Callithrix jacchus: one gene and its partner. The protein of the gene in region 2 interacts with the protein of the main gene of each other region in a pairwise test. Links are inferred from orthologs where the notes say so. Each region holds a gene or a part of one and is shown on either strand. Other genes may lie near its edges.

The links.
Region 1: the proteins of PRR3 (region 2) and ASF1A interact in binary tests that used the Homo sapiens proteins (3 or more experiments, as listed by UniProt). The two-hybrid records come from large-scale screens. The link is inferred for Callithrix jacchus from reciprocal best matches to the Homo sapiens genes PRR3 and ASF1A.

Annotation. Positions count from the first base shown.
Region 1 is NC_133505.1:125,224,759-125,229,307, reverse strand, and holds the start of ASF1A (histone chaperone ASF1A), read right to left. Parts: upstream 2,969-4,549; 5' UTR 2,721-2,968; coding exon 2,612-2,720; intron 1,059-2,611; exon of another isoform or gene 763-1,058; coding exon of another isoform or gene 731-762; intron 1-730. UniProt on the Homo sapiens protein: Histone chaperone that facilitates histone deposition and histone exchange and removal during nucleosome assembly and disassembly.
Region 2 is NC_133505.1:35,351,060-35,355,452, reverse strand, and holds the start of PRR3 (proline-rich protein 3), read right to left. Parts: upstream 2,812-4,393; 5' UTR 2,771-2,811; coding exon 2,665-2,770; intron 1,949-2,664; coding exon 1,886-1,948; intron 1-1,885. Other genes in the region: GNL1 (guanine nucleotide-binding protein-like 1), read left to right, coding at 3,926-3,998.

The DNA of each region.
Region 1 (4,549 bases), about 90 Mb from region 2:
ACTTGAGACAAAGTAACTCATAAAGAAAATTCTTTTCAAAATATTCTATAATTTGGGCTGGATGCAGTGATTATAATCACAAAACTTTGGGAGGCAGGGGTGGGAGGACTGCTTGAGTCCAGAGGTTCGAGACAAGCTTGGGTAACATGGCAAGACTCCATTTCTACAAAAAACTAAAAAATTAGCCTGATATGGTGGTACATTGACCGTCTTCTCAGCTACTCAGGAGGCTGAGGTGGGAGGACTGATTGAGATTGTAGGGAGCTGTGTTTGCACCACTGCACTCCACCCAGCCTGAGTGACACAGTGAGACCCTGTCTCATTTAAAAGAAAAATTTTTTCTATAGTTTAAGAATTTTTTTTTAAAAAAACTATAATATAAAAGTATGGAACCTATAAGAAACCTTTGCTAAGTAAACTCATTTCCTAAATCCACATAGCCTCTAGGTGGAGTACACAGTCATGGCCCCTTTTTGAAAGATTCCTTTGCAGCTTTGGCATGACTCAGCTTAAAATATTTTTTAAAATACTAAATACTCAGTAATGGTGCCTTGGAAGTGAAATATACCATTGGAAATAAGCATATTCTTGACACCAGTACTGTAAAACCCTGATGTGATTCAGCTGGGTTCTGAATGGATCCCACTTAAAAATGGAACATGTTTTGGCTTCTATGAATGGCTGGTTTCATCTATAACGACATCCTGAGTCATCTATCTTCTTTGTTCAGAGCTGACTCCTAAAATGGAAGGCATCACTTGAGAAATACCTGTAATTTGAAGAACTTCTGGTGGTATATTTGAAGAACACTGTGGTATAATTTGGAATGGACTGACCAATGATTTTTCTTTTGTCTGTTTTTATATGCAATTGGCAATAAAAAAGAAAAATTTACTGACTGTTGGGTGTGAAAAATGGTGCTGGTAGCTGCAATGCTTATATTAATAGTAGTATCGTAAGAGAATAATCAGATGACTTCAGAGTAATACGAAAAATACCCCTTAATGTTATCAATGGCCTATTTGAAATTATTTTAATAAATGAATTATCTTTTAAAATTTGCCCTATATGTGTATTTATGCTCTGCATAGGTCTTAAAAAACAGAGGCACACATGTTAAAGTAATAATTGTGATTACCTAAAGGAGTGAGATAGGGGAAGGTATTTAACACAGAGAACTGTTAACTTTATATATGCCTGTACAACTTTCTATAAGTTTATTACAATGAACATATATTGTTTTTATAAAGTTAACAACTCACATAAGATATATACATTTTAGAGATTAAAAACTAGTTTTTAAAATGAAAATAGTTTTACATGCTATGATTAGCCAAATCTTCAATGCATTTTAAAAATATACTTCTAATTCAAAGATGTCCCTCATCGATGAAGTTAAACTTTTTCCCCTTCAAAACTGGCAAATTAAGCACTGAATTACTTTAGTAAAATAAAAGCAAGGATAATTGTCGTTTTAGCTTTCTAAATATTACTACACATATTTTAAAATACGTATTTTTAAGACCTTGAAACATGTAGAAAAAAATATAAAGAATTCTTGGACTAAGTATTTTACCTTAATTTTCTAGCCTACGTTTGTGTTTCATGTTCAGGGTGTGTTGTGTATCTGGATGTGGAGTTATTTTAGATTTCAACACGTCCTTGAAGAAAGTCTTAAAGACTATTTAGAAGGCAAAGATTAAGTCCTGAAATTATTTAAGTATCCAATTTCTGCTCTTAGGTTAAATGTAACTTCCTAGCTCAGCTCTTATTTCTCTTCCTGAGATTAGCTTTTCGTCATTAGGGGAAAGGAGTCCACGTTGGTTGGGGAGCCTGCGCGCCAGCATCCCGGCGCATCCCGGGCGCCGGCCGAGGAGGACCGGCCGAACAGGACCCGCGGCCCCCGGGGAACGCCGGCGCCCAGCCCGCGGCGCGGAGGGGCCGAGCCTGTGCCCGCCTCCCCTGCTGGTTGGTCGAGGGAGCCAGAAATCAGCGCGAGGACAGCCTCGCTCTCCTCTCTGAAGCGGCCGGGCATGGCCAGCCCGGAGAGTGAGGCGACTCCACTGTGAGCTCTAGAGAGTTGACTACCTGCCTTTCGCCAGGGGCTGGAGGGCAGGCGGGCGGCGGGGCAAGAGAAGGCGCCGTGCGCCGGGGTCGCTGGCCCAATTCTCGACTCGGGGTAAGATGGCTCCGCTCCGAACTCGCCGGCGCTACTACACGCACAGCCTCTCCCTTCCCAGCCTCCGTGCCCAAGCCCGGAGGGTCGTGGAGGCTGGTCGTGGAGCCAGCCCCGCGCGACCCCCGGCGGCGCCGCGGGCGCGAGTGCCGGTCTCCGAGCTGCCCGCTCGCAGACAAAGCTGACAACATGGCTACCTCCGCTCCTCGGCTCAAACAAGTTCCTCGCAAGTTGAGCCCGGCAGACGCCTGGGCTGCGGCGGAACGCCGCGCGCGCCTCGGCTGCCGTCGTCCATCAACTTCAAGTTTCCCTCCGCAGAGGAGCCCGCGGCCGCCCGGCGCCGAGCACGGCCGCCCAGCGCGAGGCCGGGCCCGGGAAACTTTCAACGTCTGCAGCCCGCAACTGACAGCCCGGGTGCGCGGGCGCCGCACTCACCTTCAGACAGGTCCTCGATGCACTCGAAGGTGATCTCGAACTGGAACGGGTTGTAGAAAGGAGAAGGATTATCCAGCACCACTACATTGTTCACCTGAACCTTTGCCATATTTTGAAAAAAACACAAACAATGGGAACTGGGGCTGGTTGCGGCACAATAAAGTCCAGCGCGCGGCCGCCCGGGAGAGCGCAGACCCCCGCCCCAGCGCCGGCCCGACGTCGTGCAGCGGCGACTTGAGAAACTTTTTTTTCCCTCTTTTTATTTACACGGGAACACTCCACAGTGTTTTGCAGCTTTCCTATTTCACTAAACTACAGCCCATTCTGCTCTGATAAGTAGCAGCGTTGCCCTCGATTGGCTGCACCCGAGCTCTGACCCTCCTCCTCCAGCGAGTGCCTCGGCAGCCAGCAAGATGGGCTCCCGCTCCCGGAATGGACTCGGAAACTTTAACTGCGGCTCCACCTGCTGGTGTGGATTAGGACAAAGGCGGAGAACAAAGTGAGTGGAATAAGGGCTGGGAGGCCCGCGCGGAGGCCGCCGCCGGCGTCGCGGAGAGAGGCGAGGGGCGTGGCCGCGGCGGGGAGGCGTGGCCGTGGCGGGAGGGCGCGATCCGGGCGACGCCCGCCCCTCTAGTTGGTTTCGTGTGAGGTGTTTTGGCGTTTTTTGTTTTTTGGTTTTTTGTTTTAACGCTTTTTTTTCTTTTTTTTTTTTTTTTACATCGGTGCAAAGGCTCTGACGGCCTTGCTGAATTTAGCAGATGAGAGTCCGTGTTTACACTGGGTTAGGTTCAGCTTTCTGTGTATCGGGTAGTATTTGGAGTAGAGAGAATGATTAGCTGCAGTGGAAATAAATTGCATGTTAAAGACCGATGTCGGCTCGAAAGGAGCAAAGCCATTTTGGAAATCTAGCTCTTGGCCAGTATCTACGTTTGGGCACGACAGCGCCGTTAAGCAGACACAAAATGAAGGGCGAGGAATGATTTTCCACACACTGTGCTTGGAAAATCTAAATAGGTAACCTTTGGGCTTGCACCTGGGCGTCGTCTTCCGAGTCCAGATCTGGAAAGTCCTAGAATAAGAAAAGAATCACAAGCGATGTGATTAGTTATACCCCAGGTTACAGCCATTTGGAGAGAACAGAAAATGGAAGTGTCAGGAGACCAACAGGGCAACAAACATAACAGATGGGAAAAGAACACAAAGGCATAGCAAGACATTTGATCTTCAAAAAAAAATTCTTGACCTAAACCGTTAGTAAATAAAAATTTGTAGCACAGCAAGCAAATTCTCAGGAGCCCTTGCTTGCCTGTAACCAGTTCGGGTTTGAACTGAGGAAACGTTGATTCGTTTATGCGGCTTGACTACCATTGCAGGGAAAGAGGAAGCTTTAACATGTCTGTGAGCCTAAACCGTTTCTATTTAGTAAGTGATGTAAAGGGTTGTTTTATTACCTGCTATCCATAAACCATCACTTTTTTCCTTAAATGTTGTGAATGAAACCACCAAACTTGGCCAAATTCAGAGAGAAAAATTCTTAAGTATCTGTTTTGGAAGAATTTTCTCTTAGTATAGTGCCCAGAATTTTGATTTGTCATTCTTTGGGCATTGTTCGTACTTAAGTAGGTGCCTTTTAATGAAACGTTTTCATCTGATGGTCTTTTGAAAGTTAATGTGAGACAGCTAATATCAGCGCCTCTTACATTTAGGAAAACCATGTCAGAGTGGGGAAGAGTTCCTTTTTTGTCAGTGGATTGAACAGTTAGATATAGGACCTACCAGAAAAGACCTTCAAACCCAGTTGTTTGTGACATTAGAGTATTAAGAGTCAAACCATGGGGATAGACGCAGATTTCTGTGACTGATAAACAATACACTCTTCATTCTTATTAGGGCTGGTCCTAACACTAGCTACGATAAAGTGGAAATTGCTGTATGCTG
Region 2 (4,393 bases):
ATAAAACAACAACAACAACAACAAAAAAAAACCTTTGTCTCCTGGGTTCAAGGCTAATTTTTGTATTTCCAGCAGAGACAGGGTTTCACTGTGTTAGCCAGGCTGGTCTCAAACTCCTGACCTCAGGTGATCCACCTTTCTTAGCCTCCCAAAGTGTTGGGATTACAGGTGTGAGCCACCACACCTGGCCAAGAGTTCTAATTTCAAAGTGGTATATTTTTGTCTTGCATTTATTAATGATGTTGATGCTTATTCATTTAGATCATTAGTTTATATCTGCATTTTAATAAGGTAACTGTTCTGGTCTTTTGTCAGTTTTTCAAATAGCTTGTCTGGAAAGGTTATTTATGTATTATAGATACAGGCTCTTTATTGGTTATATATATATATATGTATTTTTTTTTTTAAAAAGACGGGGTTTCACCATGTTGGTCAGGCTGGTCTTGAACTCCCGACCATCTTGGCCTCCAAAGTGCTTGGATTACAGGTGTGAGCCACCACGCCCCGCCTATTGGTTATATTTGTTGCCATTATCTTCTACTGTATGGTTTCCTGTTAATTTCTTGATGGTGTCATTTAGCAAGTTTATATTTTCTAACAGTTCAATTTACCAATCTTTCCTTTATGGTTAGTATGTATATGGGCATTTCTGGTCTGTTTAAGAACTCTTAGAGCATGAAAATACATTTACTTTCTTTTTTTTTTTTTAAAAGGTGGGGTTTCACCACGTTGGCCAGGCTGGTCTTGAACTCCTGACCTCAGGTGATCCACCACCTCGGCCTCCCAAAGTGCTAGGATTACAGGCATGAGCTATTGCACCCAGCCCATTTATTGTCTAGAATAATTATTCTCTTACCTTTTATTTATTAATTTTTTTAGAGATGGAGTTTTGCTCTTGTTGCCCAGGCTGGAGTGCAAGTGGTGCAATCTTGGCTCACTGCAACCTCTGCCTCCCGGGTTCAAGTGATTCTCCTGCCTCAGCCTCCTGAGTAGCTGGGAATATGTGCCACCATGCCCTGCTAATTTTGTATTTTTAGTAGAGACAGGGTTTCTCCATGTTGGTCGGGCTGGTCTCAAACTCCCAACCTCAGGTGATCTGCCCGCCTCGGCCCGCCAAAGTGCTGGGAATACAGGTGTGAGCCACCGCACCTGGCCTCTCTTACCTTTTATACTTAAATCTACAGTCCATTTGAAATAGATCTTTATATATGATTATGAGTGCAAGGTGAAATTCCATTTTTTTACATGAATATCCAAGTGATCCAGTATCATTTATTGAAAAGACCAACTTTTCAGTTCCATCTTCATCATAAAGGAAGTGTCCACACATGTATGGGTCTGTTATTGGAGTCTTCAGGACCTAAGTCCTGTTGACTTATGTCTATAATTGTGTCCAAACTGCATCGTTGTAACTATTATAGCTTTATAGTCTTTTTCTCTTGTTTTTAGAGACAGGGTCTCACTATGTAGCCCAGGCTGGCCTCAAACGATCCTCCCACTTCAGTCTCCTGAGTAGCTAGGACTATAGGCATGTGACACCATGCCCAGCTTACAAATCTTGATATTCATAGCAAGCCTTCCCACTTCAAGATCATCTTGACAGTCTCTCACCTTGATATTTTGCATTTCCCTATAAAAATGTGTATTTCTACAAAAACACTGTAGATATTCTGGCTTGGAATGCATGAAATCTATACATCAGTTTGGGAAGAAGTGACATTTTAACAACATCGAGTTTTTCAATCAGCAAATATACAACTTTTCTCCATTCATTTAGGTATGGAATCCCTGATCTTTTGATTTTTAAGTCCTTTCTGGGTTTTATCCCCTCCCTTGCTCTCTTCTCCACGACCTAATACAAGGATCAGGGCCCCTTCCTCCTCACCTGACTTAGGGTCACCAGGTTTTCCATTGGCCATGGGGGGAGGGCCCAGAAGGCTGGGTGGTCCTAAGAGCAGACATGAAAATACGGTCATCAGAATGGATTAAGGGACTGATGATTCTGTTCTTAGGTGTTTTTCTTCTATTACTCATTTCTTAATTCAACCAGTAAAGTCAGGTATATTTTCAGCAGTCTTAGGAGTTCTCACCCCATCTACCTGCGCTTTTTTCTGCAAAGCTGTTTCGGGTTTGCAAAGAGTAGATATTCAATCAAAGGGGATAATGCAGGAAAAGACAAAACTTTTTCTTTTCCTCACCGTACCGTCGCTATCCAAAACAATCCAAGTGTCTCCAGACATAAACCAATCCCTCAACTGCTGGCCAGTCAATTCTCTTCTCCTTCCCCTTGGCCAGAGGACTAGTTCAGAGAAAGCTGCACCTGCACCTCTTCAGTCAGTCTGGATACAAACTGTCATCCCAGTCATCACAATCTGCAACATCTCTACTGTCCCTTTCCCCTATTGTTCTGCGACTGCGCAAAAGAGCTCTTTATTCTCGCCACCCCCGCCTTCTCCAGAAAGGTTTGGGGCCAGTTTGAGGTTGATGGTTCCAGTAAGAGAACTCCTCGTTCAAGGCTCCATTTGGGACAGCCCCTTCCATTCCTCCCCAGCGCGTGCGCCCTTCCTCCTTCCGTTACAGCCCCCTCCTTTGCACCTTACCAGCCCCTAGCCCCTCGCCCGGACGGGCTGACAGGCATGTGCACGTCCCTCCCCGACCCCTCACCGATGGGACTCCCATCCTCCTCATCTCCAGTATCTTCCCGCTCGGGCAGTGGGGGCTGCTGCTGTGATGGTGGCTGGTGCTGATTCTGCTTCTTTCGTTTCGGCATCGTGGCTGCCGCAATGGCTGCAGCGGGATTTGGAGGGCAGTGAGGAAGGGGCACACGGGGATTCTGTTTCCGCTTCCGGCGGGGCGGTGGGCAGCGAGGATGAGGCTCCCGCCATTCCATTTCCGGAACGTTGCGGGGAACATCTGCAGCGGCCGCATTCTGGAGTAAACTGCCTCTGTCCGTCTCTGCTAGGCATGGTGGCAACCTCACACCTTCCCTTTGCTGCGTTTCTATAACTGCTTTGAAAAAAATTCCTCTCTTCTTCCCTCGTTGGAAACCACCACAACCAGCTCCTCGGAGTGTGCCACAGAGTCAAGAGGCTCTCTGGCCAGAAGGCCTGAGAAGAGGACTGTCGCACCGTAAGATCGCCACATCCGGTCCCCGGTTACTATGGTAACAGCTGCAGGCACAACTTCGTGCCCTCTGACCTCCCTCCAAAGTCCTTGTGCCGTTTGGGTTTCCCTTCTCGTCCCCTTTTGCACTCATCTGTAAACCTGCTACTTATCATCGTTCTCACAAGGAATTTGGGTCCCAGCAGGTCGGCACCCAGGACTCTTCAGACCGCCGCCCTCCCCTAAAGACCTCTGATCGTGCCCCCGGTGTAGCTCAGCAACCTGGCTTCTTACCCGGGACGCACAGTCTCGGTTTTCCAGTAAGGTCTAGCCCGAGGGTTGGTTTTGTAGTCTCAGCGAGTCCACGCCTCCTCTCCCCTAGGTAGTAGGCCCCGCCCTCCACTCCACCGCCCCCTCCAGGTGAGTGGTAGCTTCTCCCGGGAGCGCAAAGTAGTGATGACACGCATCCCCCCTTCTCCGAACGCAAGTTGGTAGCGTCCGTGACGGAGTTAGCCCGGTCCTCCCACGCGCGCCTCCTTCGCCGCCGCCGGGGCGCCCTCTCGGTGCCACTGGCTCTCACGTGCCAGTAGCCCACCCCGCATCATCCTCTCGCCTAGCTCCTGGAGGGAAGTGACTGTATATCTCCCTCGGTCGTCTTCCATCGCGGCCGCCGCGGCAATTCGGTCGGGCCCGCCCGCTGACGTCACCTGCTAGCCCCGCCTCCTCTAGGGTCCCGGGCCCCTGCGGCGGGGGCTGCCCCGGGGGCAGTTAGTTGAGGCGGCGGGAGCTCGGTGGAGGGCGGGCCAGGTGACTGGTCCGGGCCATGCCGAGGAAGAAGCCCTTCAGCGTGAAGCAGAAGAAGAAGCAGTTGCAGGACAAGCGGGAGCGGAAGAGAGGTCAGTGCGGGAGCGGGAGGAGGGGGCGGGGCTCAGGCTCCCGCACATCTGGAAGGAGGGGTGTGCTAGCTGCACTTCTCGGGGGCGTGGGAGGGGATCGTGGGAGAGCGCTGACCCTCGAGGCCTTTCGCGGAGGGGATTCCCCACCCCCCCTACATCTGGAAGGGGTGGGGAAAGATGGAGAATTGGGGGAGGGGAATCCCTTCAGCTCGTACAGGGCACGGTCCGCACTGCTCCCTGGAGGAGTGACTCCCCCGCGCACATCCGGGAGGGTCCCGAACAGGGTGGCTGGGAGGACGGAGCCTCCAAAGAAGTTGAGTGGGATGAAGGAGAGTCAGGCCGACGCGGGAGAGGGTCTTACGGCGCTTGAGAGCTGGCCAGCCCTGGCGTCACCC